7 linked regions of the Cricetulus griseus genome follow. The protein of the gene in region 3 interacts with the protein of the main gene of each other region in a pairwise test. Links are inferred from orthologs where the notes say so. Each region holds a gene or a part of one and is shown on either strand. Other genes may lie near its edges.

Region 1 (4,464 bases), on a different chromosome or scaffold from region 3:
CCTTCATCTGGAGCATGCTGACCTGGACCTCCTTTTCTGTTGACCTCCCGCAGCTTGAAAATCTCCTCCCCAGCATATACACTTGTCTCAATGGTCACGCCTCCCAGGCCATCCCCTCCCCATCACAACAGATGACATCATCTTCCATCATCCTCATCCACTTCCAGACCAGGGATGAGTACTCTCTGGCCTGTTTTTTGTATCCCACAACCAGAGAGCCTGAGTAAGAGCAGCAGAGTCATCACTCTATGCTGTGCTGAGCAGCAAGAGCCACCCTTCACATTCTGACCCGTACCCAAGAGCTTCTTCCAGGACTTGATGAGGGATTTGGCCAGTGCAATGAGCTCTTCATCTGAGCTCTGCTTCCGCAGGGCATTGACAGACATCCCAACACGGGTGGACTGCAAGGCAAGTGGCTTGGGTCAGAGGTGGTAGGGACCTGTTCCAGAGGCAGATCGTCACTTGGCTCCCACAGGGAAGGGCTGGGGAATGGGCAGGGACAGAAAGACCTCTCTCCCCAATGGCTATGATCTCACTTGGAACCCAGAGGGCCCCCTCCCACTTCAATGATCACCAGAGAGAATCAGAAGCCCTCTCCTTAGAGCAGTTGTTTATGCCAACTAAGCCTTGTATGAGTCATATAAGGAACTCTGCTAGATGTTCTTGGTTACTGTCTCTGGAATCATCTTATACCAGAAGCAGAAGAGCTTACCTGGAGCAGGTGTAATGTAACAGGCATGGCCTTCAGCTCCCGAAGCAAATCCATGGCTCCCTCCTGGAAGGAAAGAGGACCTTCATAAAAGACTAAACCTTAGTGGATCTTCCTGATCATATGGGGGGACAATTTACATGTCAGAAAGAAGCCACTCCTCTACCTTGAGAAGACCAGAGCACTGCACACACTACCACAACAGCGGCTTTTTACTGCCCCTGCACTAGGGCAAGACTAGAGACAAACAGCTTAATAGTGCTCTCCTCAAAGATCAGGTGGTTTCTCACCCTGCATCTGTGGTGACCTCCAGACCTCATGGTAACCACACCAGGTCACTGAGCAAACTACTAGAGAAAAAAATCCCAGTTTCTGCTCAACATGGAAGGACACTCAAGAGATATAACTCAGGTTCCTTAGACTTAGTCCATCTATGCCTTTCCTCAAAGTGCTCATCCATCAGTGTAGCACTTCTCCTGGGTACTGTAACAGACAACCCTGATTTTCTGCCTCTGCCCAAGCTCTATTCTTCAGTATCTACAGACAGGCTGCACCTCAAAGGCAGGCTCCTCCTATTCCTACCTTAAAACCCTCACTCTGCCTAAGACTGCTCTTCTCCCTAGCACTTCGAAGCTTTATTCAGGCACCTCCTTCCCACAGCTGACAGACTCTTCCAACATCGGACACTATTGCAATTGCTTTTCTCCAGGTTACCACTATGAACTCATGTGTCTTTACATGCCTCAAAGAGGCAGAGAAAACCCATCCAGCCCTTCAAACCTTCCACAGTAGAGACAGTGGGAGAGCCTGGGGCTGACCTCCAATCTATGTTAATTATCTGCTCAGACTGCAGCCTTGTTTCATGGCCCTAAAGCAGATCCTGCTGAGAAGACCTGATCCTTGGAGCCAGGGGAACTCATCCCCAACAGCTCTGTACTCCCACCCAGAAGGCCCGAACAAATCACCAGCAGCTCCAAGGAGCCTCTCAGGTTGCTGCTACCTCCCAGAACTTCTGCCGTTTCCCTTCTCCACTATAGAGTCCTGTCTGTGGCCTTCCACTCTTGCTGTGTCTCTGCCAGTTTCCAAGCCCCTGTAGATTCCCACCCCATCTCTGCCACCCTCAGTTCCAATTTTGTCATTTGGGTTTAACACCCTTAGAGGAAAGAAGCACCAGCAGGCCTCTGCACCCGTTATTACAGAATGTGGCTGTTTGGGGCATAAAGGGGAACCTAACTCTCTTCCGGATTTAGCCCCCCAACCCTGGCCAACAGGAACCCAGGACAATCCTGCTGGTCCTCAAAAGCTGTCCTGCAGCCCTCCACTTCAAGCACAGTTATGGGGAGGCTATACAGACTCATGACTCAGCCCCCATCTGTGCTGCCCTGGGATTGGTGCCGCGGATGGGCGGGTCATACTTAGCCTTAAGGCCACCTCCTGGTCCCTTCCCACCCACGGAAGGCAAGATGCAGGCAGGTGCCATCATTCCCTAAGGATGCTCCCGAAAGGTTACAAGGGTGGCCAGGGTAGGAAGGCAGGCTAGACTGTAGGCCAAGCCCACAGTGCCTTGGGGCAAGGTGAGGGGCAGAGTCGGTCTCCTAGGGTCTCAAGGACACAGGTTCATTTCGAAATCTACAGTCTGGCCACATCGACTTGCTGCTGCCTGAGGCTTGACTAAACAGGAAGGGAAATTTATTAAAGAAACCTAGTTCTGAAGGGTGGGGGCAGACATGGGAGACAACGGCTGGGCTAAGAACGCCCGCGACCACCGCTGGGCGAGGGGGCAGTGGGCGGCTCCCAAGTCAGCTTGGCGTCCAGTGCGAAGCGGCAGTCCCACGGTAGAGGGCGGGCCTGGGGCCGGGATCTCAACTAGTCTGAGTATCATTCTCCCCGAGGGTGGGTTCAGCCGGTTTCCACGGAGCGGGGGCCCCAGGGTCCTGGCGGCCCGCGCCCCTCACCGCGCTCTTCCTGGTCACCATCTTGTCCAGCCTCCGGGCGATCCGCGCAATCTCCTCCTCCTTGCCCATCACCACCTCGGTGGCGGCGGGTTGCGCCGGTTGCGCCACCCGGCCAGACCTCGGCCGCCGCCGCCTAGATGCGCGGTCCAAACCTCCGCCAGGCGGCCGCGTGCAACACACTCAAAAAAAAAAAAAAAAAAAAAAAAAAAAGTCTCCGCCCCCGGGACCACAACTCCCAGACGACTGTGCGGCGTGTGGCGCGCGGCCCGCTGGAAAAGGTAGTTCCTCCGAATGTCCGCCATCCGCGGAGCGACCGCCCACACGCCCTCCGAATGCCAGGGAGAGGATGGACTTGAGGGGAGGAGTATACTGCAATATGGTCTTTAATTCAACCCATCTCAGCCGCTTGCCCTGGTGATGCATTGATCGTTGGCTAGTCCACCCCGGTCGCCTTCACTTCGTAGAAGTGCTGTGGCGTCGGGACCTCTCAGCCAACCCCACTTACATCGTTACCAAGCCAACTTTGGGTCGTTCTTGACTCTACGCAGATGCAGCGCACACTGGGAGGTATCGGTCCCGGATTCTGAGAGGGCTTCTTGGGCAAGAATTCAGGCGCTGAAGTCAACCTAACAGGGTGTAAATCCCAGGTTCTGTTCTTTGCTCTAAGAGTCATCTCCCAACCTGAAGCGCGGGATCATCCGGTTCACATTGTACACTGAGAATAGGGCAGGGCTCAGGTACTGGGAAACATCATAACCATGCCCAGGCAAGGAAAAGAGGTACTCTTCTCCTCTTCTGTGTTGCTGATGGTTGCAGGTGTGCCGGTACCAAAAGACAGTTACTGTACCCACAGTAGCCACAAGGCCAGGGTGCAAATGGAATGTGCAAATGGCCTGGGATGGCCATTTAATCAGTTGTGACATCTTCACCATAAGGAAAAAGTATTGAATTCCTCGTAGGTAACAAAGCTTTTTCAGAAGCGCAGCTCTCCAGCTCCCATACCAACTCTAATTCTGCCCTGTCCTGGCATCTTGGCCCTTGCTCTAACCCTGTGTTTGAGCACTGAGTTGATGCTTGCAGGACCCTACAACAGCACAAGCAGTAAAGCCCCATGGCCTTCAACCATGCTGAAGGGACTATCCACAAAACTAGTCGTCCCAGTGATGAGCAACAGCAGCCTGTAGGTGGCAGGAGCAACCCACAAATCTGCTCAGACAATGGCTCCTTCCAGAGGAAAATCCAGTAGATCGCCAGCAGGGGAGCTATGGTAACAAAAAAAAAAAAAAAAAAAAAAAAAAAAACAGATCAAAGATGTGTTCATTACTGAGGGGTCCTCACTTGTGGGGTTGGCACTGACCCCACAACCCAGCCCTAGAAATCCTCATTCCCTGAGCTGGGGATAAGTTCAGTTGGTAGTGTTTGCTTATCATAAAGAAGCCACAGTACTGCATAAAACCAGGCATCACAGGTACCTGCCAGTACTCCCAGCACTTGGGAGGCAGAGGCAGGAAGATCAGAAGTTCAAAGTCATCCTCAGATATATATCCAGTTTGAGGGTAACCTGGGCTGTAAGAGCCCTTGTCCCAAAAACAAACAAAAAGCCCGGATCCCAGACTACAGGAGCTCCAAATCCAACCTTCTGGCCCTTGCTCGGAGAAGTCACCCCCCACATCACAACCTCGCAGTGCCCCCACACACACATACCTTTCTGATTTTGGGAGTTTTGTCTTCAGTGAAACTTCCCCACCAAACACCATCTGGACATCACCAGGTGTTCATTCCAACATGGTGTTGTCCTCC
Region 2 (4,359 bases), on a different chromosome or scaffold from region 3:
CAGTGTGTCTCTGCCCGCAGGATCCCACCTTCTAAGCTGTGCGGTCCATTCCAAGGGAAGATGTCCATTTGGGTCCACATCCCGGAGTCCATCGAAACCCTCCCTCAGTCCGCCCAGAACTTTCTCTACTTTCTGGGGACGCAGGCTTTTGCTGTACCCCTTCTGATCCTCTCTTGGTAAGTGGTTCCAGACTTTATGGTCGGAGTTTGGATATGTGTGGTTTAGTGTTGGGGGGTTGGGGGCTGCTAGAGAGGAGGGCTGCTGCCTGGGTACCTATGGCATGGAAGACAACTGGGGTCTCCCTAGATCTGGTTTGGGGTCTGGATTCCCGGGTCTAAGGAAAAGAAGTCTGGGTTTGAACACTGGGTCTAAAGGAGGTCTGCAGTCTAGACCCCTGGTCAGAGGGAGGAGGGCAGAGGTATGGACTCCTCCTGGTCTGAAGCAGAAGCCAGTGGCCCTTGGGGGTCCTGATCCTGGTTTCTTTTTTGGGGGGGGGTTCGAGACAGGGTTTCTCTGTGGCTTTGGAGATTGTCCTGGCACTCCCTCTTGTAGACCAGGGTGGTCTCGAACTCACAGAGATCCGCCTGCCTCTGCCTCCCTTAGGGCTGGGATTAAAGGTGTGTGCCACCAGCACCGGGCGTGATCCTGGTTTCTAAGGAGCCATATGATGAAGGGGTGTGTGTGTGTGTGTGTGTGTGTATTTATTTTATTTTTCTGAAGTAACTTTCATCCCTGTCTTCCTTAGCATCCTGATGGTGTTTACAATAGCCCTGGCTAACTCTTACGGACGCCTCATTTCCGAGCTCAAACGCCAGATAGAGACGGTGAGCCATGGTGCTTCCCCGGCCAGGGCCCCCTGGGAACCTGGGAAGGACTCGGGTGTAGGGTGTAGAGTAGGCCTGCCTCACTTCCACCCCCTTTCTTTTTTCTTGCCCTCAGGAAGCGAAGAATAAAGTCTTCCTAGCCCAGCGAGCTGTGGCTCTGAGCTCAGCGAACGGAGCCATCTGACCACCCGAGACCCGTGGTTACACCTCCCTATCTGGTACCCTGTGGTCTCTGGATCGAGTCCTCCGCACCCCACCCCACCCCACCCACCCCAGTGCCACACTCTCAGTTGCACCGTTATTAATAAACAACAGCTTTGCATTTTGAAGCCGGGTCCTGAAGCTGGGGACAGGGTTTAGGGAGGGGCCTGATCCGGGTCCCGGGTTGTGTCTGCGAGCAGAGGGCTAGACAAGGCGGGGCAGCATCAGCCCTACACGGCGGCGTCCGGGGTGGAGCGACCCGGGGGTGGCAAACGTTTGGGATTGGCTGTGATGGAGGGCCTCTTAGCCAATCACCCCTGGATAGGGTCATAAGTGGGCGTGGCGTCTGGCCGGGAACCAATGCACAGGCGAGGGTGGGGCCACGGGGCGGGGGCACCCTCGCGCCAATCGGAAGTGTGGGAGTCGGGGGCCCGCTGGCTCGGAGGTCGGCGGGGGGACCATGAATATCTTGCCCAAGAAGAGCTGGCACGTCCGAAACAAGGACAACGTCGCCCGCGTGCGGCGCGATGAGGCCCGGGCGCGGGAGGAGGAGAAGGAGCGTGAGCGGAGGGTGCTGCTCGCCCAGCAGGAGGTGAGCCTGGGCTGGCCCGGAAGCGAGGCGGGCCTCGCTGGGTCGGTGGGTGACTCGGTGGCAGCCGCGGGTCTGTGCTTGCTGACGCTTCTCCGCAAATCCTTTGCTGACTTGCGCGAAACCGTCCTGGATCCCCTTCCCCCCCCCCCCCTGGTGTGGCTGAAGTGACCGCAGGCTAGCACGTCGGAGTGGGACGGCTGCCCCGATCACTTTGGAGATCGTCCGCACAAGTTAATTACTGAGCACCCACTGTATGCGTGCCCCCCCTCCTGCAGAGCGCTAGACTTGACACGACCCTCTTAGAGCGACTTGGAGTTGCAAAGGCTTCAACGAGGAGGGCAAAGGGCGGGCAAGCCGGAGTGCACTCCGTTAGACCTCTTCTTTCTCCACCATTGCTCCCCCAAACACACCCAGAGGCTGGCTTGCTCTCTCTCTCTCTTTTTTTTCTTCTTTCTTTCGGTTTTTTGTTTGTTTGTTTTTATTTTTCGACACAGGGGTTTCTCTGTATTGCTTTGGAGGCTGTCCTGGCACTCACTCTGGAGACAGGGCTCGAACTCACAGAGATCCCCCTGCCCCTGCCTCTGCCTCCCGAGTGCTGGGATTAAAGGCGTGCGCCACCAAAGAGGCTTTCTTTGAAACAGGGTCTATGTAGCCCGGGCTGCCCTGGAACTGGCTATGTAGACCAGGTTGGTCTCGAGCTCTGAGATCTCTTGCCTCTGCCTCCTGAATGTGGGATTGAAGACCACGCATGCATGCACAGGCGTTAGTAATTACTCAATCATGTTAGTTTACAATTAAGTCCCTTGGCCAATCTGATCATGAAGTAGTGTGGGTATTTAAAATTTCGGAAGTAGCCGGGCGTTGGTGGCAATGCAGAACCTACCTGGGATGGGAGTGACACGGGCCATCACTAATGTGTTTGGGATGCTGACCTGGAGCCACACCTGGGGTTCAGATCTTTTGTCCAGAAACTGTGTTTGGCTTCCTAATAAGCTGTATTTGGGAGTTTGTACATGTGTGTGCTGGGCATACACTAAGCAGGGGCTCTATGGGTGAACAAGCCACCTCTATACCTTATAGCTGAGTAGTTTTTGTTTTTTTAGATTTTATTTATTATGTATACAGTCTTCTGCCCACATGCCAGCAGAGGGCACCAGATCTCATTCAAGGTGGTTGTCAGGAATTGAACTCAGGTCCTCTGGAAGAACAGTCAGTGCTCTTCACCGCTGAGCCATCTCTCCAGCCCCTAGCTGAGTGGTTTTTGATAGCTGTTTTTCTTGCATGACTCCAGGCTGTGGAAACCCTTCTGTTTTAGGCTGGGATCTCCCCAAATATCCCTGGTAATCCAGTTAACTGTTTAAAAACAACCATTCTCGTCGGGTGGTGGTGTCGCATGCCTTGAATCCCAGCACTTGGGAGGTAGAGGCAGGCAGATTCTCTGTGAGTTGGAGGCCAGCCTGGTCTACAGACTGAGTTCCAGGACAGCCAGGACTGTTTTACAGAGAAACCTTATCTCAAAAGCCAAACCAAACAAAAACCCCATTCTCCACTTCAAATTAGAAATGGTGTCTTTTCTGGCTCCCAGTACCTCTACCCCCGCCCCCCCCACACAATTTTTTTTTTTTTTTAAACCTTTTTCCAGATAGCTTCTCTCTATGTAGCCTTGCCTGCCCTGGACTCTGTAGACAGGCTGGCCTCGAACCCACAGAAATCCACCTGCCTCTTTCTTCCTCCTGAGTGCTGGGATTAGAGGCGTGTGTCACCACCAGCCGGCTCATGGCCCTTCCTTGGAGCCCCCAGCACTTCTACGTTCTGAATGTCCTGCCTATAACTTTCTTCACAGGCCCGAACAGAATTCCTACGGAAGAAAGCCAGGCACCAGAACTCACGCCCTGAGCTGGAAGCAGCAGAGGCAGGCGCTCCAAGTTCTGGCCCTGTGGACCTGTTTAGGGAGCTGCTGGAAGAAGGGAAAGGAGTGCCCAGAGGCAATAAAGAGCATGAAGAAGAGAAGCGACAGGAGAAGGTAAGCTGCTGGCCTCTGTTGGCTGATTTCGGTGGGGTGGGGTGGGGCGCTACCAGCTGTGACTAACAGCTGTTTCTTATGTTAACCTTAGCTAGTTTATTTTGAGATGACACCTCAACTACACAGACAGGCTGTCCTCCAGCTCACAACCCCCTCCGGCGCTGGCCTCCTGAATGCTAGTCGTCAGCATCTGTCGCCAGATGGCGCTTGTGCTTCTCACATTGTGAACTGTACTGTGGCTCTCCTGCATCCCACTGAAACCACTCCTCTGCTTTGCTGCAGTTTTTCCTTAGACGCCCCCTGCAGATTAGCCATCAGCACTTTTGCGTAGCTGGCCCCTGGTCTGTGATTTCCCTTGTTGAATACCCACCAGCCCCTGCCTCACTGGGAACTCAGGCCCTGGGTTTCCCTACTGCCACATGCCATATCTAGGGCTCCCAGAGGGACTTGGGAAGACTATTTTGTTTTCTTGCCCCCACAGGAGAGGCAAGAGAAAGCACTAGGCATCCTGACGTATTTGGGCCAGAGCGCAGCAGAGGCTCAAACGCAACCTCCTTGGTACCAGCTCCCCCCAAGGCAAGGGGGCTGCCCTCCAGGCCCAAGCCCAGACGAGAAGATCAAGAACCGGTTGGACCCCTTGAGGGACATGCAGAAGCACCTGGGAAAGAAAAGGCACAGCAGTGAAAGCCGTCCTTCCAGAGAGGAGCGGCCTCAGAAAC
Region 3 (4,227 bases):
AATCGCCCTCACAGAGCCCATTCCACATAGAGGGATACTCCCTGAGCCCAGACACACGGGGGCGGGCCTAGTCCCTATCCCAAAGGACACAATAGACTCTGATGACCCCCCCCATGGAAGGCCTCACCCTCCAGGGGGAGCAGAAAGGATATGTGATAGGTAGGGTTTTAGTTGGGGGGGGGGCTTGTAGTGGAGGAGGGCAAGGAGAGGGAACTGGGGTTGACATGTAAAACCATCTTGTTTCTAATTCAAAAAAAAAAAAAAAAAAGGAATCGACCCACAATTTTGACTTGGGGAGCCAGTTCCTGTGTACCCACTTCTGACCTGAATGAGACCTGCTGAGAAGTCAGATCTGTCTCAAGATCAAGATCGTCTCTTGAGTGGATAGTTGAAAAAGTGAAATAAGCCCTGTGGTTTCCCACACCTTCTGTTAGAGGGGACATCAGCGGTGCCCACAGGACATGGGGGCGTGACTCAAAGGACATGGAGAGGACAGGTCTTGGTGCACCGAGGGCAGCAGGGTTGGGCTACGGAGGGCTCCTTCTAAGTCAGTCCTTGGCTCTGGCTTGGTGGGAATTCGGAAAAGGCAATGATGCCTGCCTTGCAGTTGGCACATCCAAGTCTCAAGTTCCCTACTCTGCAGCCCTGCAGCAGCTCTGTGGCACGTGAGGCCGCCAGGAGGAGATGGATGGGCTCGGTGAACTGCGGCCATGGAGACCAAGAAGTGCGCGCGTGTCTGCGCATTTGCAGGAAACAGTCCATTCTTGGTTTTTTGTTTGTTTGTTTGTTTGTTTGTGCCTCAATCACCAGGTAGGACCAGGCCCAGAGACCCAGAGCAGAGAGGTCCTTAGGAGCGACTGACCTAGGGTGGGTTCTGTCGCCAGAAGCCACCCATCTTGTCACTCCTTGGGAGCATCCTTAGGACCCGGTAGCTCACGTCCGCCGTGCAGGAGGCGCAGCAGACCCGGAGCTGCCTCCGGTGAGGCTTGGGCACTTTGTTAACGCGCAAGGAGCCTCCAGGGCTGGTCCCTATGCGGTCCGGAGCCGCGGGGACAGAGAGGGTTTCCGGGCGGCGGCAGGCTGGCACCCGCGTCAGGTGGCCAGGCCAGGCCCCGCCCCCTCGCCCCGCCCTCTCTCCTCCCTGCGCACCGCACCGGGCTCCCGGTCCCCGGCCCCGCGGCTGCGGCTTCTGCTCGGAGGCTGCGGCGGCGGCGGTGGCGGCGGCGGCGGCAGGAGCGGCCATGGAGGCAGGCGGCGCGGGCCGGCGCGGGAGCGCGGGCTGGAGCTGCCCCGGCCCAGGTCAGAGCCGCCCCTCCCTCAGCTCCCCATGCTCCTTCCCCCTCTGCTCTCCTTCCTCCTGACCCCCGGGTGCCCGGGGTACTGAGTCGACTTCCTCCACCCCGGCCTCCATCTTTCGACCTGGGGGTGTCCCCTCCCTAGCGGTCACTCCTCGAGTGCTCCCCACCTCGTCTCTCCAGCCCGACCGTGCTTCCAGCTCGCCAGGGGCGGTGGAAGCAGCGGGGGGGGGGGTCTCGAGCCTGCACCCTTCCAGTTCATAAAAGCTCTTGACCAGGGGGTGAGGGTGGGCTGGGCGAGGTTTGGTGAGGGAGGGGAGGGGAGAGGAGAGGCCTGGGTTGGAGCCCCTTCCCTCCAGGTCCGGCCGCCCCTCCCTTCCCTGCCTTGAGCCACCCGCATCCTCCAAAAACCTTCTTTCTTAGTTCCCATCCTACCCCTCTTCTCCTTGTGCCCCAAGCTACACACTCACCCTCTTTCTGTCTGGGCGGGGAGAGGAGCCGGCGACATCCTGGATCAGGGGTGCTGAGGCTGGGCAGCGCCGCGCTGGGGTCCTCTCCTTAGGCAGAGCATGGGAGGTGGCGAAGGGAGTAGAATCACACAGCTGGACAGCGTGAGTCAGGCTCCTCCAGTGGGATTACAAATTTCGGGGCTCCCAGACAAGAATCCGCGTCCCTTTCTTTCCCCTCAGCCCCCAGCCTCTTTCCAATCCTACAGTGCCTACTTTCTCCTGCTCACAGGACCCACAGTAACCACTTTAGGCTCTTATGAGTTATCTGAGGGTTGTGAGAGGAAGAAAGGCCAACGCTGGGGGTCCCTGGAACGCCGTGGGATGCAAGCTATGGAGGGTGAGTTTTCTGTCGAAAAAAAAAAAAAAAAAAAAAGCTTTTCCATCTTCCATCACCCTACTCCCCAGTTCCCTTCCATCCTACTTCCTTCCCTGACCCCAGAGCTCTGAGGAGCCAGGATACGGCCCTTCCCTCACTTCATCTCAGGCCCCTCCTCCCTGGTGGCAGAGCTCCAAGCCTGTCCTGGGCTCAGGCATTGATGGAAGTTTGGGCACATCCCTTTGGGCTCCAGTCACCCAGCTAACCAGGTTGTGTGTCCTGGGGGAGCTGCCAGACAGACAGAGGTCCTGCTGAAAGGAGCCTGGAAGCAGCCTTTCAGCGGGGCGCTTGTTCTCACTGCCTGCTGACCTGGATCCCAAGCTGTCTCTTATTTTTAAAAGCCAGGACATGGGCGGGCGTGTGAACTGTCTTTCTGATGCCTCCACTGTCAACTTTGAATGGAGCCTTGCAGCTTTAGTAAGAGAGGCTTAGGAGAGATCGAAGTCAACTTCCCACCACCACACCACAGGACAGGGCAGGGAGGATCAACCAGGACTTCTTGTGAAGTGACCCCAGGCCCTTTTACAGTTCAGTACAGGCCTCCCCTAGAGACTCGATAGCATAAGGGGTCTCAGATGAACCATATGCTATTGGTATTAGAAAAAGAAAACCAGAGATTCAGAATTTAAAAACAAAGCAGTCTCCACCAAGACAAGATTGCTATTTACGGGAACTGCATTGCAGTAAAAGAAGTGCTCACCAATCCAAAAATGGGACCAGTACCAATTCAAGATTTTTGGTTTTTTTTGTTTTGTTTTGTTTTTGGTATTTGTTTTCTAAGACAGGGTTTCTATGTATAACAGCCCTGGCTGTCCTGGGACTGGCTCTGTAGACCAGGCTGGGCTTGAACTCACAGAGACCTGCCTGCTTCTGCCTTCCAAGTGTTAGGATCACACCTGGCTCAATTCAGTGTTTGGTTTTTTTTTTAATAATTTTACTTTTACTTTATGTGCATTGGTGTTTTGCCTGCATGCATGTCTGTGTGAGGGTATCAGGTCCCCTAGAACTGGAGTTACAGACAGTTGTGAGCCGCCTGTGGGTGCTGGGAATTGAACCCAAGTCCTCTGAAAGAGCAGTCAGTGCTCTTAACTGCTGAGCCATCTCTCCAGCCCCTCCAATTCAGTTTTTAAGATATGTCAACAGTACTGGAGGGATGGCTTAGCAGTTATCTTGTGTTTGATTCCCAGCACCCACATGGGAGCTCACAACCATCCTATAACTCCTATAACTGACCCCCAAGGCTACTGCATGCACACTATAGACAGACATACAAGCAGGGAAAACACCCAGATGCATAAAATAAATAAATATTTTTTAAAAAAATGTGTTTGGATGGCAGGCTTTCTTTTATGCATGAGTTCAGTTTCAGACTTACCCTGAAAACCAACTTGGGTCAGCAGGAAAGAGGTGGCACCCAACAGGAATAAAAGTTAGTGTAGAAATTTTCAAAGTCGGGGCTGGAGAGATGGCTCAGAGGTTAAGAGCGTGGACTGCTCTTCCAGAGGTCCTGAGTTCAATTCCCAGCAACCACATGGTGGCTCACAACCATCCGTTATGAGATCTGGTGCCCTCTTCTGGTGTGCAGATATACATGGAAGCTGAAATGTTGTATACATAATAAATAAAATCTTTAAAAAAAAAAAAAGAAATTTTCAAAGTTATTTGATAGCTTGCTTTTGAAAGGGTTCCCACATTTACCCAGTAAACAGCTCAGAGCCATTCCCTTCCAATGTTTTCCTTCTCCACTACAGGCCAAGCCAGTACTTTCCTATTATTAAAAGGCCACCTGGATGTGGGTTTTTTGCTTGTTGCCTTTCCAACCTTGCCCGATTTGGCCTAAATACGCAGCTGTGTCTGAATGTCTGAATCCTTTCTTAACTCCTTGTCCCATTACCCTGTGATCATACTGGAAGTTCCAGGTGTCCTTATGCTACCAACTTCTTGTAGATGAGCCAGGGTGGTGCTGTAAAGGCAGGAGACATTCAATATTAGGAGCTTGGAAGGGGGAAAGGGTACTTCCAAGTCCGACCCACCAGTGCCTCACTGT
Region 4 (4,482 bases), about 31 Mb from region 3:
TGGGACAGAGTTTCAATCTGTCACCTAGATTGGCCCGGAACTCAGGAGCCAACCTCCTGCCTCAGCCTCTGAAGTGCTGAGATCACAGTGTACACACACCGCCAAACTTCCCTCCTGCTCTCATTCTCTTTGACTGTAAACGGTGTCAGCGCCATCTTCATGTAACGCTACAGGGCCTGTCCCACAACGGTATGCTCCTGCTGGCTGTTATAAAACACCTCAGATTAGGCTTCTCCAGAGCTTGTGTCTGACCTAGTAGCAACTGGATGGAAGAACTGTGGATGCCAGGCTTCTGAGGCTGCCTTGAGCTGGGAAGGAATGCCTAGGTCACTAGAACACCGCCTTAATGGGAACAAGGAGGTTCAGCAACCCTGGACACTTGAGTCAAGTGTGAGCATAGTGCTAGAATGTCCACTTTACTGATGACACCCCAGCGCCTCCCTCCTAGCCCTGTGTGAGCTAAAGCAGCCGGGCAGGTTAGTCCTGCACAGCTCTCATGGGCAGATCAAACCGGATCCTGCTTGTCTGCTCTACCAGAGATTGACAGGGACTCTGGGAGGCAGGTATGGAGTCCCAGAGGCTCCCCTACTCATGCCATCCTGGGGCTGCCTGCTCACCGCTTACCTTGACTGCTGTGGTCCTCCAGGCTGACCCGCCAGTCGTCCCCTTGGAGCTCAGCGTGCAGCAATGCATGGACCCCAGAGATGAGGCCCGGCTCCTGCTGGGGCCGCAGGGCCACATCACACAGGTCAGCCCTGCAGCCCAACCGATAGGTGCAGCCTGACCTGGACGGGGGGTGGAAGGTGTAGAGATCACCGCCCCTGCCGCCCCCTATGCGCAGCAGCTGGAAGCAGGGCAGCATGGGGGGGTGCTCCCCTCTGCACCGCTTCTCAGCAGTTCATCACCTCTCCTACTCCCAGGCCATGCACCGGGGGCTTCGGTTCAGTTGTCTGACGTCAGCAGCCCCACTGTGGGTAATGCCAACTTGAGAAACACAGATTTCCAAGAGCGCCAGAGGCCTGGACACGCATGCAACCGCTGTAGCTAGCGGCTGTCAAGATGAGACTTCAAAAGCAATTCCGGAGAAGCCCTTTCGCGATGCAAAACCAGGAAGACGTCCTGTGGGACCTCCGTGATGCCGGGTCCTCAGGCCGCAGAATATCCGGGGAGGCTGTAGCAATCTGTTCAAGGCAAAGCTACTTTAAGCGGCAGCTGGGGACACCCCAGCGGGGTGAGGAGGTCCCGCTACACGGACGTGCGTGCGACACGAACGTGTCCCCTCGAGTGTAAGCAGGAGCCGGGAGGGAAGCCTACAGGTCAAACTTCCTAATCCAGGTAGAGCACCCCTTCTGTCCTGCCCCGAGGGAAGGGAATCCGCTGTCACCCACAAAGGGCGGCGCAGACAGGTCCCTAACTCTGCAACAAGGTGGAGCTCACCCTCTCCTCTTGCGCTTGCGGGGTGCCCCGAAGAAGGACTCCACACCCTGTGCCCCTCGCTCCCGCTGCGGTTTGACAGCCAGGAAGCCGCCCTCCGGAGGGCGCGGCTCGGGCGGGCGAGCGGGCGAGCCGGCGGGCGCGCACCGCGCAGACTCCTCCTACGGAATTCCCGGGTCCAGCTTCGCGCCTGCGAGCCCGCGCCCCTCCCCAGGCTGTCTCTGATTGGCCATCTGACTCGCCCTCCTCCGCTGTACTGGACGATGCGCAGGGAGGGGCCGTCCATCTCCCGCCCTCCGCCGTTTCTGATTGGCCTGCAGGTTTCCCGGGTTCCCGGGATGGGGCGGGGCCGCCAGGGCGCGGAGAAGGCCTGGAGGAGTCAGTGTGCCTGCGTGCGCCGTTCTTCTTCCTTCCTCCTTCCGGCAGGCGGGGCGAGTTGGGGCTTTAGAGCATCCCGCCAACCCCACCCGCCGCGCGCATGCGTGCTCAGGGCGGGAAGCCTAGCGGGGAAGCCAGGGGCTAAGGGGCGTGGCAAGAAGGCGGACCTCGCGCTGGGTAAGGAGCGTTCGGCCGGAGTCGGTTGGTTGGGGGCGGAAAGGGGCCTGAGAGGGGGTGCTCAGGAGGGTGGAGGGGGTCCACAGGGCAGGAGGGGTGCAGGAGCCCGGTGAAAGAACAGATGAGGAGGTCGGGGCAGCCTTACAGCTCAGGGTCCTAGTGAGGGGGATGAGCCCGTGGGTGTGTGCAGGAGAGGAGAGGGCAGACCTGAGGACAGCGAGCGACCGGGACCATAACGTCAAGAAAAATGCAGAGTAGGACTAGGAAGAGAAGCGTGTAGGGATCTCGTTGAGTGGAAAACAAACAAACAAACAAAAAATTTGAGTTCGGACGGGAGTTGGACAAAGAAGATGCTGCAGGACTCTGAGCAGCGAAGGGCTTCGGGAATGGAAGCAGAGGGGATAGAGAGAAACTGAGGCCCGCTGCAGGGAGACTCCGATGAGATAACAGGAAGCTGGCTGCCTGGCAACGCGCTCCAGGCTGCTTGCATTCCCTGGGGATCCTAGGGAAGCCGCTTAACCCTACATGAGGCCCCATTCTTCTGGTGCCAGGCCTTGGGCTAACGCTTTTGTAGGAAATGACCCAGAAATCATGGCGCGGTGGTGCCTAGATGGGTTTCCCAACGTCCCTACCATACCATGGCGAGAACTGTGGAGACGGGGTTCACAACAGGCCCGCTCACCTCCAGACCAGAGCTACAGGGATCGTAGACACTTAAGGAGGAAGGTAAAGGCACCACTCACAATCCTGTAGTAGAAGCAAAATCCCCAAGAGCATCCCCTGGCCCCCATCTCGGTACATTTACCCCATGATTGTTGCCTGGTTCCTTTGTCAGGAGCGTGTGTTCGGGACAAGCAAGTCTGCCTTGTTAGGGAAGTAGGGAGAGAGAAGCTCAGAGCTGGGCAGATCTGTCAGTAACTGAAGGATTGTGGCTTTGTTATTATAGGACTTCCTCTTTGGAAGGTGGCCTGAAAACTGAACTGGAGTCTCCTTGTTTCTCCTACTGTCCAGGGGAACCTACACTCTTGCGGACAAGATCGAGAGGCTTCAGATAGAGTGGAGATGTTGTCTCCCTCAGGTCAGTAAGGCCAATCAAGGAGGCTGGGAAGTCTCTCTGTGTCTCTCTGCCTCTGTCTTTCTCCCTCTCTCCCTCCCTCTCCTCTCTTTCTCTCCCTCTCTCTCTCCTTCCCTTCCTCCCTCCCCCTCCCTCCCTCCCTCCCTCCCTCCCTCCCTCCGTCTTCCTCTCTCTCTCTGAGAAACTGACAGTCTTTACTCTTGTGACCCACCCCCTCAGGTTTTGCTGGACTGGTTCCTCCCTCCCACTTCCAAGCTCGGCCGAGAATGGCCCCGACCTGGGCTTCAGACATTCCCCAGTTCCAATCCACATTTGACCAAGATGTCCTAGAGAGGCGGCAGCTGGACTCTCAGAGGCCCACAGTGACCATGAGGGAACAGGATGTCTATGGAGATGGGCAGGGGCCAGGGCAGAGAGGCAGGTAGGGATCTGTCAATCACCTTTTTCTCAGACTTGCTAATGATCCTTTATACACACATTCCTTTATTTCAGCAGCCCTGGGTTCCATAACTTGTGTGGTTTTCTGTAGGCCATTGTTGGTACCTACACTGCATATACCATTATGCCCTGGAGAAAATCAAGAGAGAGGAGAGAGAGAGAGAGAGAGCGCGCGCTCTGGACTTAAATTCCCAATTAACAAGTGTTGCTAGAGTTTCTTTTCCTCCAGGTCCTGCCACCGCTTCAGCCCCAAATAAACACACAGACACTATATTAGTTATAAAACAGTTGGCCAATGGCTAGGGCTTCTTGGTGGCTAGCTCTCTCTTCATCATTAACCCACTTCTATAAATCTATGTATTTCCACGTGGTCTTGGCTTACCAGAAAATGCCCAGACCTGTTACTCCTTTGGCAGCTACATGGCATCTCCTCCCTGCATCTCTCCCAGGGTTCTCCCTGTCTCCCTGCCCCACCTATCTTCCTGCCTCTTTTGGCCAAACAGTGTTTTATTCATCAACCAATAAAAGAAACATATATACTGAAGGGCATCCCCCATCATCTCCTCTTTTCTGTCTAAATAAAAAGAAGGGTTTACTTTTACTTTAACATAGTAAAATTATATATAACAAAAACAGTTATCAAGTAAAAACATATAGTTAACAATAAAGAAGGAGTGTAAATGTCTGAGGGAGGAGATGGATTGCCCAGAAGCCATTGTGAAACGAAGTGACATGCTGGCTCTTAGTTAAAAGGGCCTTTCCCGGCATACACCACTGGAGCTGGCTATGCTCGGCATATGTGGTTTAAGATTTTATTTTTGAGCCGGGCATGGCCTGCCTTTAATCCCAGAGAGGCAGACAAGCAGGCAGATCTGAGTTCAAGGCCACTCCCTCCCTGGTCTACAGAGTGAATTCCCTGACAGCCAGGGCTACATAGAGAGAATCCTGTCTGGGGAAAAAAACAAAACAAAACAAAAAAG
Region 5 (4,274 bases), on a different chromosome or scaffold from region 3:
AGCAACCACATGGTGACTCACAACCATCTATAATGAGATCTGGTGCCCTCTTCTGGCATGCAGGCATACATGTAAGCAGAGCACTGTATACATAAATAGGTAAATCTTTTTAAAAAATCAAGAGGGGGGAAAAATTCAAGATTTGCCTTGGCTTTTTCTTTAAGAGGAAGCCCAGCAGAGTTAGCATTTCACTTTTGTTTTTACATGTGTTTGTTTGTACGTGCACATGTAGCAGTCAGAGAACAAACCCACATGAGTTGGTTCTCTCCTTCCACCTCATGAATTCTGGAAAGCAAACTGAGGTTGTCAGGCTTGGTGGCAAGTGCTTTTATCCACTAGACATCCTTATGGCCAACTTCTGCTTTTTCTGAAGAGTTCAGAGAATTCTTCCCATTGACGTGGTTACCAACTCCAGTCATCATTCACCACTAGCCCTACACAAATAAAAAGAGCAGGGTGCCTTTAAGAGTGACTGATTCCTTAAGGATATTATCCAACTAATCAATAAATAAATAACTTTTAGAAGTCAGGTTTACTTAAGATTAAAATACAAGTTGCCTCTCTTTTTATTCTAATGCTAATAGCATAAAATATTTATCCTTTATTGGGGCAAGTCACCAAATGAACCACCATACTGTGCTGGAATTTACTACCTATCTGTATGTGTTCTCCCTAGGCTTCAGCTACATCGTGCAGCAGATGGCTATAATAGTGGTTCTCATTTTACAGGACCACTAAAAAGATTAAGTGAGAAAACTAATGCATGCAAAATACTCGTCACAGTGTCTAATAAGTAATGCACTAAATAAGTAGCCCATAGGATGAGTTGTTTGAATGGAAATGTGATAGTATCATGTCGAACAGACATAATCTTCCTTATCTGTTTATTATTGTTGTTATTATTGATTTATCTGCTAGGATTTTTATTATTTATCTGATCGATTGGGCTCCGTAAATATTGTTATGACATGTACTTGATTGTTCGTTTAAATAAATGCATTTTTAAATATAAATAAATAAAATGAAAGGGTAGGCATAAAGAAAAGAGCCTGTAGAATAGATCATTCCCGGCCCGGTAGGAAAGCGTGGAGGAACATTAAGCCTTCCCTAAAAGCTGAAAGCTGATATGCCGCCTTCTCCCGTGACGTGACCGTCTGTCTCAGTCCTTCCAACCGCCCGGACCTGTTACATTCCAGTCCACTTCTTTCCTTGCGCCACCGGCTCCAAACAGGCGTGCTTTTGCTGCACGTGGTTCTCTGTATATAGTGGTTGCCTGGGAGATTCACGCAGGGCGGGGCCCCATTGACGCCACAATAGGAACAAGCCAATAGCCATGACGTATATCAGTGATGCGAACTCGGGGTGTGGCTTTCCCGGCCCGGGCGCAATGAGGCGGCTGCCCGCTGGGTGGCGCCGATTTCCCGGGGAGGTCCTTTCTGGGCCCCCGGCGGAGGTGGGGGAGAGGCGGGCAAGCACCGAGCGAGGCCAGGGAGCCCTCTGCGTCAGCCACAGCTCGCTGCGCCGCGCCAGTACCAGCCAGGACTCATCCGCAGCTCCATGCTTGTGCCGGGTTCGACTCGTCCATCCTCCGAGAAGAGGCAGGTACGTGCCACCTGTCGCAGATCGGGGAAGGGGAAAGCCGGGGTCGGTGCCAGCTTGGAGGTTCGGAAAGTAGGGTGTCAACGACAGCCTGGGCAGTCTGGACATGAGAAATGTAGGGCGAGGGCCAACTGTGCGGGGGAACTCCAGCTGTGGGTGCCAGTGTGTGAGAGGGACTGACAGCTGACAGCTCGGGGTGCCAGGAAGAGCCATCTGTGTGCTGATCAATGTGTTCTGAGGAAACAGTTACCGCGGGTACAGGTCCCCGTGCCCGGTGTGGTGTGTAGCCTGAGAATGACGCCTGGACCCTGACACCCCCCTCTCCCCACGTGTGCGTGCAGCTACCTCCCTCCCTGATGTCAAACCTCCTGGGGCTGTCTCTGGTCAGTTTTCCAAAGCGGGGGAAGGGGGCTCAGGGGGAAGCCAGCAGTTAAACGGAAGGGAAATTTTCCACCAATCCCAAATCAGAAAGAGGCAACTTTAAAATTCTCACCAATCCCAAAGCAAAAGCAGCCATGCAGTGTTCCCAGACAAGCAGCTTGCCAAGCGGAGTCCTGGCCAAGCCCTTCTAGCTCTTCAGAGAAGGGAGAACTCTTAGCTCTTGACCCCCAGTGCTTTTGAGAATGAGGTTGCAATGAAGATCTCAGTAGGGGCTGCTTATCTCTCCAAATGTAAGGAAAAGCACACACATCAATCCGCCTACAAAACAAGAGGCATGGAGAACTAGTAGGTGGGCTAGAATAGAGGGTGTCCCCTACTCTTTGATGCTGTAGGTGCAAGCCACTCTGGAATGAGGACTGGAATGAGGGCGTCCTCTGGAGTGCATAGTCAGGACCCAGTCTGAGTCAGTACCCCGTGCTGAGACAGGGTGGAGGCACCAGCCCTGGGGCCTTCCAGTCTTCAGGGAGAGCCATCAAGAAACAGAAGAATCGTCTTGGGAGCAGACAGGTGCACCAAGACCAGAGAGTCCCTCCTCTAGTAATCCCTGTCCAGCCTGCCTTTGCCGCCCTGGAACCCTGAGTCCTCCAACAGGTAGACTGGGACTGCCCCTCTGGAGCTAGGCATTTTCCTGGCAGCCCAGGGAAACCGCACTTGATATTTTTTTCTGAGCAAAGGGGAAAGAAGCCCAAGTAGGCTTGGCCTATCGCCTTGGGAAGGTGGCAAGATTCGTCTACCCTTTCCATTTTGGGGACTGGGCTAGTTCAGAAAACCACAGGACTGGTCTCTGGCATCAGAGCAATTCCCCGAGGGGGTGCCCTGAGGCCTTTTTCTTCTAGGAAGGGTCACCTTCTAGGAAAGGTTGCCTGCTACTGCTAACATTAGTAGTAAGTAATTAGATAAGAAATGGAAATAATCAATAAGATTGCCATTTATTGAACTCTTGCTATGTTCAAGGAAGCTTAAAACTATGATTTTTGTCCTCATCACTGTGAGGCATACCATAATCACTATTGTTGTTATTCGTAGTTTTTTTCGTTTGTTTGTTGGTGCATTCATTTGGGTTTTTGTTTGTTTTTGGTTTTTTCAAGACAGGGTTTTTCTGGGTATCCCTGGCTTTCTGCTTTGTAGACTGGTGGTCCTTAAATTCATAGATCTTCCTGCCTCTGCCTCCCATTGGGATTAAAGGCCTGTGTGCCACCAGCCCTAGTTCTATTGTTCGGGTTTTACAAATTACATAGCTAAGATTCAGAGAGCCTACCTTAGATCCAATAAGGGGAAGGATGGGAATTCAGGCCCAGACCTAGAGGTCCACAATTAAAAAAAAAAAAAAAAAATAGTGGACTGAAACTTGAATGCTGATCCCAAGCACATCTCTGCCCATGTGTCCTGGAGCAGGTCCTCCCCATCTCAGAATCCCTTGCAACTGGACTCGCAGTTTGGCCTGTTCCTGTTCACTCAGTCTGTGACTGACAGCTCTAGAGAATCCACCTTCTCCATGTTTGGGACTCCAATTCAGCCCCAGCCCTCTGCTCTATTCCCTCTTGATCCTTCCTGTTTTAGTTCCAAATATCCCCTCCCAGGATTCTAGCTGGTTCTCCTCAGCTATCACCCGGCCACTGGGCATCAGGTGGAAGGTGGGCATGTCACTGCCCCTTTAATTCTCCTGGGGCTTGGAATGCAAGTGAGTTGCCATCTCTTCGAGGTCAGATAAGATACTATATATATCTAGCTAGTAACCTGAGCTCCGGATTACCCAGCCCCAGTTAGACTCCAGCTTCTGGACTCTACACTGCGGTCCCATCACTGCTGGGAAAGAAACCCCCAGCTCCCATCCAGTGCTCCTGGACACAGGTCAGTAGCTCTCTCTTTGGTCTCTGAGTTTCAAGGGCAACCGAGTGACCCAAGTAAGCCCTGAGTGAGTTTGGAGGAGCATGATAGACGCCACCCACTGGCCTGGTGATCGCAGTAACCAAGCCTGAATGCTCAAGATAGAGAACAGAGGACAGCTGATGCCCTAATGGGAAAGAGATAGGATTCTGTCCAAAGAAGGGGGCACTGGGAGGGTACCTGAGCATAGGAGGATAAGAAAGAGAATTGAAAGGTATCTCTGCTTCCAGGAAGCCTGTTTCTTTGCCTTTTTTTGGACTTACAGAGATAACCACCCTTCCCAACCCCTGGGCCTACCCACTTCTTCTCCACAAGTCAGGGTGGCTATTGTCATCTCTTTCATCTCT
Region 6 (3,526 bases), on a different chromosome or scaffold from region 3:
CTTAGCTTAGGCTTGTCCCACCAGCTGTTTTAACTTAATTGAACCTGTTACTATTCATCTATGTTTTACCTCAGGGCTTTTTCCCTTTCTTTCATTCTATATGTCCTACTTTCCTGCTTCCTCCGTGTCTGTTTTTCTGGCCCCTGGCATCTCTTTTTCTTTCTTCCCTGAACCTAAATTATTCCTCCTATTTACTTTCCTTGCCCGGAAGTCCCACCTGTACCTCCTCCCTCACTATTGGCCATTCAGCTTTTTATTAGACCAATCAGATGCCTTAGGCAGGCAAGGTAAAACAGCAACACATCTTTACATAATTAAACAAATGCAATACATCTCTACATAGTTAAACAAATATTCTGCAACATATATGTGGATTCAATGTCACATCTCTGTATGGCCTTCTAAATGGAAGTCTGTGGGTAAGGTGTTCTAAAAGACACAAAGGAGTCACTTGTTCCTCTTACAGAGAGCCATCACTGCTGTAATGACTTGGGCCTCCTTTTCAGTTCTTCAAGATAAGAGTGAAAGCAAACGAGATCGTGTGGAGTCAGACCTTGGGGAAACTGTATAGAAGGCTGTTGCCTTCGCATCTTTCCGGTCCCCCTTCCGGCATCCCTCTCTCTTGCCTTCCGTCCCACTGCTTTAGTGATGTCCTTTGTGCCCACAGAGACAGTAACACACAGAAACCTGGTACCACAACCCTGGAACCATTCTCTGCCTTCTCCTGGGCTGTAGTGTGTTCCCTGGGAACCTATGCTTAGCCACCTATAGCTAGTAGAACTCAGGTGTGGAGGACTTTGTACTTGTGTGTTAGCAACTAAGAATGGCATAGCCTTCAATATTTTAACAGAAGAATCATGAGTATAGTATTTTACAGTAAGACAATGACTCCATCCAGAGCTGAAGTTAAAACACTATGACTTCTGTTGCTGAAACAGAAGGGAGTCTTTCCAGGAAACCTCACAACCACATCATGTACTTCATACAGCTCTCTGCCTAGGGATGGTCAGCATCCAGGCAAGACGCTGGTATATCAACCCTCCATCCACACATGCTTCTGTAGGACAGTGATTTGTAAAATCTCTGAATATTACTCTATTCGTTATGCTTGTGGCCAAGAAAGAAAAATGTTATTTTCATTTTACACCCTTTTAAGACTATAACAAGTAAAAAACAAAAAATGTTATGATTGTGTTTGGGTAAAGATTATACAACTTGTACCCTTTCTTGGAATTGCATAGAAGAAACTTTGGATAGAACAATAATCACAATTTTAGAGTTACCCAATCTATGCATTTTAGAATTTGAATAAGTATTTCAATAAGCCTTTTATTGTGATAAATTTAATCTTTAATTTAAAATTGCCTCCTAAGCAAATAAACACTTGTTCCTAGCACCAATTCTTTACTTTGCTATTAGTATCATCTAAAAGAATTCCCGGTCTTGGAGCTCTAGTTCTGACCCGTAACCTTTTGCTCAACACCCGCACCCATTCGCTACTGTGACCTTCTTCTCACATGCACAGTCTTCCCTTCAGAGTTGTCCCAGCTCAAGCATTCTCTGTCCCTCATTCATTGGAGCAGTGAGCTTCCTGAAGGCAAGGCTGTTTTACGTGTTACTCGGCTGCTTGGCTATCAATGTCAGCTGTGGATCCGGTGGTCACTGAGTAACTTGCTGGATTGAACCTTTTGCCGTAATCTTTAAGCCACCAATCTAGTCATCTACTTTGGGGTATATTTATATTAATTTTTACCAAAAACATTAGATTTTCTTTTCTCTACAGGTCCGTAAGCTGCAGCAAAAAGTTCAGAACTCAAGGATAAATGAATCTTCATGTGTCCTTCAGGAACATGACAACCCTAAAGGACCAAAGAACATTAAAACTAGCTCCAGGAAGGGTTTGAATGAAACTAACCCTTTACAGAAAAACAGCAGCTTTCGTCCAGTACAAGTTCACAATCTGCAGGTGAAATTGAGGAGAGATGACATCAAGTGGGAGCAGTGACATTAGCAGAACTGTTGCCTTCAGTGAGCCTCACCAGTGAGACCTACAAGTCTGTGTAGAGTGTATATTCAATATAGCTGGGAAATTTTCAATTATGTTTGGGCTTCTGTGAAATGTGAAGTTGTGTATGTTTAGAATAATGGCTAATGACCTACCAAGAATCCCAGAATAATAAATGGCTGATTTTTGTTGTTGCTGTTATCCAAAGGCCCCTGCCCTCATCAAGTGCTAGAAGCATTCATTTTGCAGCTCCCTAAGGTCAATCTAAGAAGGGGGCTGAATGGCCACTCATTAAGATCTAGTTAAACCTGAACTCCGAGTGCCATTCCACAGGTTCACTTAGGTAGGCTGCTACCTGCAGATCACCACGGAGTGAACAGAGTGCTGTGACTTCCCTGAGATTGCCACTGTACCTCGTTTTAAGTCTCAGCAGTGTTCGTGTTTTGTTTGGAGAGGGAAAAACACAATCATTCTGCATTTTGTTGAAATGCCTGTGCTGAGCTTTGCTGTGACAGCTGTGAGAAGCAATGCATAACTGATGACATCTTCAAGACACTGATTCTCCTCTGCTTTTCCAAGCCTGCTTTCCTTTTAAACACCAGGACCTGGGTTCATCCTACTCTTCTGTAACTTTTCCTGGTTTCTTGTTTGTGTTATATGTCATTTTCTTTAGTATATGACAATGTACACGACCAAGAAAAAATGGGATTTCCTAAGAAGTTAGGCATTTAATCAACCTTATCCACAAGAGAAAATGAATTCAGTAAATGTGCTATCTTTTTATACTTCAGAATCAGTGATGTCACAATGGATTTCTTTGTTGTATACATATTTTATAATAAATTGACACTTTTTGCCTTTCTAGAAGCCTATGGAATTAAGTATGGAATTAATGTCTTTGGGACACTTACATTTTTATCTTCTGGGACAATTAAAAAACTGATGTCATCAACTGAAATAGAAATGGAAACCAGACAAAAAAACTACAGTAAAGGGAAGAGCTTGGGATTAGGGAGGAGGTGTAAGAAATGGGCCAATTTCAAAGGGTCAATAGAGTGTTCATGTTCCTGAATTCCCAGTGGATGGGGACTATGCAGTTTGGGTATGTAAGCCCAAAGAGCTGCTTCAAAACAAAACAAAACATCCTAGCCTCACAGAGATCAACTTGCCTCCACCTCCCAAGTGCTGGGTTGGTGTTAAAGGACTGCATTGTCACCACCCAGCTTTCATTTTTTGAGACAGTAGGCCAGGCTGGCCCTGAACTCACTATGAAGTTATTGGTGTTGAACCGGCCAGTCCTCCTGTCTATACTTCCCGCATTTGCAGCCATTCCTGGCCATAAAAGGCAGTTTATTTATTTTACCTATATATTTGAGTATAAGTAGCCCTGGCTGGCCTGGATCTTACAGACATCTGCCTGCCTCTGCCTCCTGAGATCTGGGATTAAAGGAATGTGTCACCATGCCCCACTTAAGGAAAGCAATTTTTAAGGACAATCTATTTTCCTAGGAAGCCTGCATC
Region 7 (3,754 bases), on a different chromosome or scaffold from region 3:
AAACTAGAATCAGGAGTTATTTCGCAGCCATTCATCTGTTCTAGGTTAAAAGTGAAACAACCAGCCGGGCGTTGGTGGCGCCTGCCTTTAATCCCAGCATTTGGGAGGCAGAGGCAGGCGGATCTCTGTGAGTTTGAGGCCAGCCTGGTCTCCAGAGCGAGCGCCAGGATAGGCTCCAAAGCTACACAGAGAAACCCTGTCTCGAAAAACCAAAAAAAAAAAAAAAAAAAAAAAAAGTGAAACAACCAGGAGAGTTTATTTGAGTTTTGCTTGCATTAACAGTGAGTAGCCACATGCAGACCTCAGTGTGTGTGTGCAGCTCCTCAGGCCTGTCTCTGCTTCCACCCTGCTGTGTCTCCCTTTCACACAGTTCTTCCAGGCCACAGTCCCCTGCTGTCTTCAGTGTAGATGACATAGGACCTGTTAGAGAGTCTGTGGGGGAGAGAATGAGCCACGGGTGTTCTGTCTGAAAACTGCCCACTGTTCTCCTAGAGGGCATATGTTTATAACACACTGGCAGTTTTACAGCCTGAGTTTTAGGTTTTCATTTATGTTAGGATCATGGGCCTTTTCCTTTGTATTCAGTAAGATCAGGTGGTCCTTCAGCAACCTGCCCTTCCAGACACAGCTCAGTCTTGCGAAAGGAAACACTGCTGTTTTCCTGTGGTGGAAGCTTACATATTCTTTAACTGTACATTCTTTCTTTCCACAAATATGTACTGGACATCTGTTCTTGGTCAGGCTCCTTCCTAGAAGCTGAGAACAAGAAAGAACCCTGCAAATAAACTCTTGCCTTTGTACAAACCCTTCTCCAGCTGGAGCAGGCCCGGGTATACAGATCAGCCAGGACGGGGCAGATGGTGTGAGTAAACACTTCTGGAGAAATGAAGTGGAGAAGAGGACTCAGTGAGTTGGGAGAGTGGCCATTCCAAAGGGGATAGTCCACGAAACCTCTCTGGAGGTGGTGTTTGAGTGGAGAGTGGGCGAGTATGCTGTGCAGACTTCTGGAGTGCGAGCATTGAGAAAGGGGGCAAATGCAGGGCCTTGGGGGAACTCTGCTCATCCCCCCTGCCCCCATCATTTTTTTAAGATTTTTATTTATTTATTTATCTATTTATTTATTTATTTATTTATTTTGTATACAACATTCTGCTTTCATGTGTATCTGCACACCAGAAGAGGGTACCAGATCTCATAATGGATGGTTGTGAGCCACCATGTGGTTGCTGGGAATTGAACTCAGGACCTCTGGAAGAGCAGCTGGCGCTCTTAACCTCTGAGCCATCTCTCTAGCCCCCGCCCCCATCAATTTTTATTTACGTGAGGCAGTTGTCTGTGCAGGTCTAAGTGATTACCATGTGTGCGCAGTGCCTGTGGAAGCCAGAAGAGGGCGCTATATCCCTAGAACGGGAGTTAAGAATTGTGAGTCACCACGTTTATGAACCTGGGACCTGAACCTGGGTCCTCTGCAAAAGCAACAAATTCTCCTAAGCAACTCATGTGACATACATTAAATAGGTCTTTGGCCCTATGAGTTGTTGATAACAAGTTTCTACATTTCATTTGTTTTCTAGAATTTATTCCAAGTGGGACAACACCAGCCTCTCAAAAACTTTAAAAAAAATAGCAACAAAAATCTGAGGCTAGATAGATGGCTCAGTGGTTAAAGCACTTGGTGCTCTTGTAGGGACTGGGATTTGGTTCCCTGCACCCACACCAGGCAACTCACAACCACTTGTAACTCCAGCTTCAGGGGATTGAACCCCCAGCTCCATGGGCACCTGTACTCACCCATGCACACAGGTATGCACATAATCTTAAAAATATGGCCCTCTGTCCATCCATCCATCCATCCATCCATCCATCCATCCATCCATCCCCTCCTTTCTCGTTGTGTTGGGAATAACCCCACAGTCTGGTACATGCTCAGCAGACACCTTACAGCCAAGGCCCTTCTGCAGCCCAAGGTATGATTTGTAATGGACTCTTCTGAATTTTCCCATTGGAAAGGCTCAACAGACTTATTTTATGAAATCATATCATTATTTGAGGAAGGGTTTCTCACTGGAATCTAGAGATCACTGATGAAGCTTCAGGTCCTGTCTCATCTCCCCAATGCTGGGGTCACAAACTTGTGTCACCACGCCTGGCTTTTTTATGGCTTCTTATGCTTGCATGGCAAGCACTTGACCAACTAAGCTGCTTCTGTAGCTCTAGAAAGTGAGGTTTTTATCTCTTTAAAAAGAACAGAACGATGGGTAAAAGGGATGAGAGAAAGTCCAGTCAGAACCCTCCAGTCCTGACTTGTATGTGGAGTGTCTCCTGCATGCAAGTGTACATGCAGTATTTCTCCACGCTCACTTCTCCTGCCCAAACTGTCTGCCATACACAGGTGTTACTTTGCTTGCTGCCCACAGCAGTGACCCTTCTGAAACTCTCTTTGCCCCGTGTCCTTCTCCCCTCCAAGGTCATCCCAGCCTGGGTCCTTGGAAGAGCAACTGAGAACTGTCCCTGGGCCTGCCCTCTCTCCACTGCACACCCTTGGAGCCCCGAGGCAGGGACCCCTCAAGAGCTGGCTGTAGGTACAGGAGAGTAGCTTCTCTCTTGTCAGCAAAGATGCACAACTCAGAAGAGGCTTCTGGTTGAAATCTGCGTAGCAGTGTCCCATTCTGTCTTCTGCAGTGTTAAGTGTCCCAACTTGAATATTTACTGTCAGTTTTCTAGGTACCTAACCATTATAAAATGGATTGAAGCCAGGCTTGGTGGAACACACCTTTAATCCCAGGGAGCAGAAGGCAGAGGCAGCCTGCCTGGGCTACAGAGTGGGACATATGTAAGAACCAGCGTTTGGATCAGCATCAATTGTTTATTTCATTTAAAATAGCATATAATGGATTTCTCCTCCCATCAGGCTAGTGGTAACAGCTTTCCCAGGGAAAAAGAAGATGTGACAATCCAGGACATTGTGGACTTTTCTGATGTTTACCACTCTAATGAAGAGTATTTCAGGAAACTAAGAGAGCTAAAGGCCGCCCATGCAGAAACCATGGCAAAATTAGAGAAAATGTACCAGGACAAGCTAAATATAAAAGACGTCTGGCCAGTGATCACCAGGGAAGATTATTCTAGTGTCTCCTCTAGGTAAGTTTGTGCTCGGTGTCATCTGAGGACTGACCTAAGATAAATATTTAAACTAAGTATGAAACAAAATATCCTGGAGTATTTGCTTCTAAATATCAGGTCCTCAGCAACAGTGAGAGCCTGTCTAACATACATTTGGGGTTTGATCTCCAGCATGGTTTGGAAACAAAATTGAACTTAAGGATGACACTCTTGCTGAAAATGCTTTCCTGCCTCCCACCAAAAACTGAGCATGACCTCCTGTTTCTGAGACGCTGGAGTGTCATGTCTTTGGGTGTCAGATCTCAGGCAGGCCTGGCACACAGGAGATAGACAGACTAGGTCCTTCCTAGTATTAATGATATATAGAGGTGGGATTTTATTCAAAATGTTTAATGGCTTATCAGTTTATTAAGTTACCTCTTGCTTTGAGGGTCATTTAGTGGCCATCTGTTTGCTTGTTTGTTTTTATTGTAATTTAATGTGTTTTTCCTGCATGTTTGTCTGCACCACATGTGTGCCTGGTGCCCATGGAGACTTGTGAGCTGTCATGTGGGTGCTGGGAATTGAACCCAGGTCCTCTAGAAGAGCAGCCAGTGCTCTTAACTGCTGAGCCATCTCTCCTGCTCCTTCA

The links.
Region 1: the proteins of Ccdc136 (region 3) and Tcea2 interact in binary tests that used the Homo sapiens proteins (3 or more experiments, as listed by UniProt). The two-hybrid records come from large-scale screens. The link is inferred for Cricetulus griseus from reciprocal best matches to the Homo sapiens genes CCDC136 and TCEA2.
Region 2: the proteins of Ccdc136 (region 3) and leukocyte receptor cluster member 1 homolog interact in binary tests that used the Homo sapiens proteins (3 or more experiments, as listed by UniProt). The two-hybrid records come from large-scale screens. The link is inferred for Cricetulus griseus from reciprocal best matches to the Homo sapiens genes CCDC136 and LENG1.
Region 4: the proteins of Ccdc136 (region 3) and Cchcr1 interact in binary tests that used the Homo sapiens proteins (3 or more experiments, as listed by UniProt). The link is inferred for Cricetulus griseus from reciprocal best matches to the Homo sapiens genes CCDC136 and CCHCR1.
Region 5: the proteins of Ccdc136 (region 3) and Usp2 interact in binary tests that used the Homo sapiens proteins (3 or more experiments, as listed by UniProt). The two-hybrid records come from large-scale screens. The link is inferred for Cricetulus griseus from reciprocal best matches to the Homo sapiens genes CCDC136 and USP2.
Region 6: the proteins of Ccdc136 (region 3) and Cep57l1 interact in binary tests that used the Homo sapiens proteins (3 or more experiments, as listed by UniProt). The two-hybrid records come from large-scale screens. The link is inferred for Cricetulus griseus from reciprocal best matches to the Homo sapiens genes CCDC136 and CEP57L1.
Region 7: the proteins of Ccdc136 (region 3) and Fam161a interact in binary tests that used the Homo sapiens proteins (3 or more experiments, as listed by UniProt). The two-hybrid records come from large-scale screens. The link is inferred for Cricetulus griseus from reciprocal best matches to the Homo sapiens genes CCDC136 and FAM161A.

The regions. Positions count from the first base shown.
Region 1 is NC_048599.1:226,858-231,321, forward strand, and holds the start of Tcea2 (transcription elongation factor A protein 2), read right to left. Parts: upstream 2,856-4,464; 5' UTR 2,734-2,855; coding exon 2,665-2,733; intron 2,591-2,664; exon of another isoform or gene 1,944-2,590; intron 776-1,943; coding exon 713-775; intron 402-712; coding exon 296-401; intron 1-295. UniProt on the Homo sapiens protein: Necessary for efficient RNA polymerase II transcription elongation past template-encoded arresting sites.
Region 2 is NC_048602.1:21,581,401-21,585,759, reverse strand, and holds the start of leukocyte receptor cluster member 1 homolog, read left to right. Parts: upstream 1-1,416; 5' UTR 1,417-1,485; coding exon 1,486-1,617; intron 1,618-3,460; coding exon 3,461-3,640; intron 3,641-4,121; coding exon 4,122-4,359. Other genes in the region: Tmc4 (transmembrane channel-like protein 4), read left to right, coding at 21-176, 746-824, 940-1,008.
Region 3 is NW_023276806.1:198,421,167-198,425,393, reverse strand, and holds the start of Ccdc136 (coiled-coil domain-containing protein 136), read left to right. Parts: upstream 1-1,189; 5' UTR 1,190-1,241; coding exon 1,242-1,299; intron 1,300-2,033; coding exon 2,034-2,141; intron 2,142-4,227. UniProt on the Homo sapiens protein: May play a role in acrosome formation in spermatogenesis and in fertilization.
Region 4 is NW_023276806.1:229,456,343-229,460,824, forward strand, and holds the start of Cchcr1 (coiled-coil alpha-helical rod protein 1), read left to right. Parts: upstream 1-1,682; 5' UTR 1,683-1,697; coding exon 1,698-1,989; intron 1,990-1,995; exon of another isoform or gene 1,996-2,013; intron 2,014-2,540; exon of another isoform or gene 2,541-2,563; coding exon 2,564-2,715; intron 2,716-2,935; exon of another isoform or gene 2,936-3,000; coding exon 3,001-3,067; intron 3,068-3,283; coding exon 3,284-3,485; intron 3,486-4,482. Other genes in the region: Tcf19 (transcription factor 19), read right to left, coding at 625-862. UniProt on the Homo sapiens protein: May be a regulator of keratinocyte proliferation or differentiation.
Region 5 is NC_048597.1:155,764,771-155,769,044, forward strand, and holds the start of Usp2 (ubiquitin carboxyl-terminal hydrolase 2), read left to right. Parts: upstream 1-1,460; 5' UTR 1,461-1,602; intron 1,603-4,274. UniProt on the Homo sapiens protein: Hydrolase that deubiquitinates polyubiquitinated target proteins such as MDM2, MDM4 and CCND1. Isoform 1 and isoform 4 possess both ubiquitin-specific peptidase and isopeptidase activities.
Region 6 is NC_048595.1:264,118,407-264,121,932, reverse strand, and holds the end of Cep57l1 (centrosomal protein CEP57L1), read left to right. Parts: exon of another isoform or gene 1-1,783; coding exon 1,784-2,005; 3' UTR 2,006-2,872; downstream 2,873-3,526. UniProt on the Homo sapiens protein: Centrosomal protein which may be required for microtubule attachment to centrosomes.
Region 7 is NW_023276807.1:83,748,167-83,751,920, reverse strand, and holds part of Fam161a (protein FAM161A), read left to right. Parts: intron 1-2,716; exon of another isoform or gene 2,717-2,833; intron 2,834-2,911; coding exon 2,912-3,141; intron 3,142-3,754. UniProt on the Homo sapiens protein: Involved in ciliogenesis.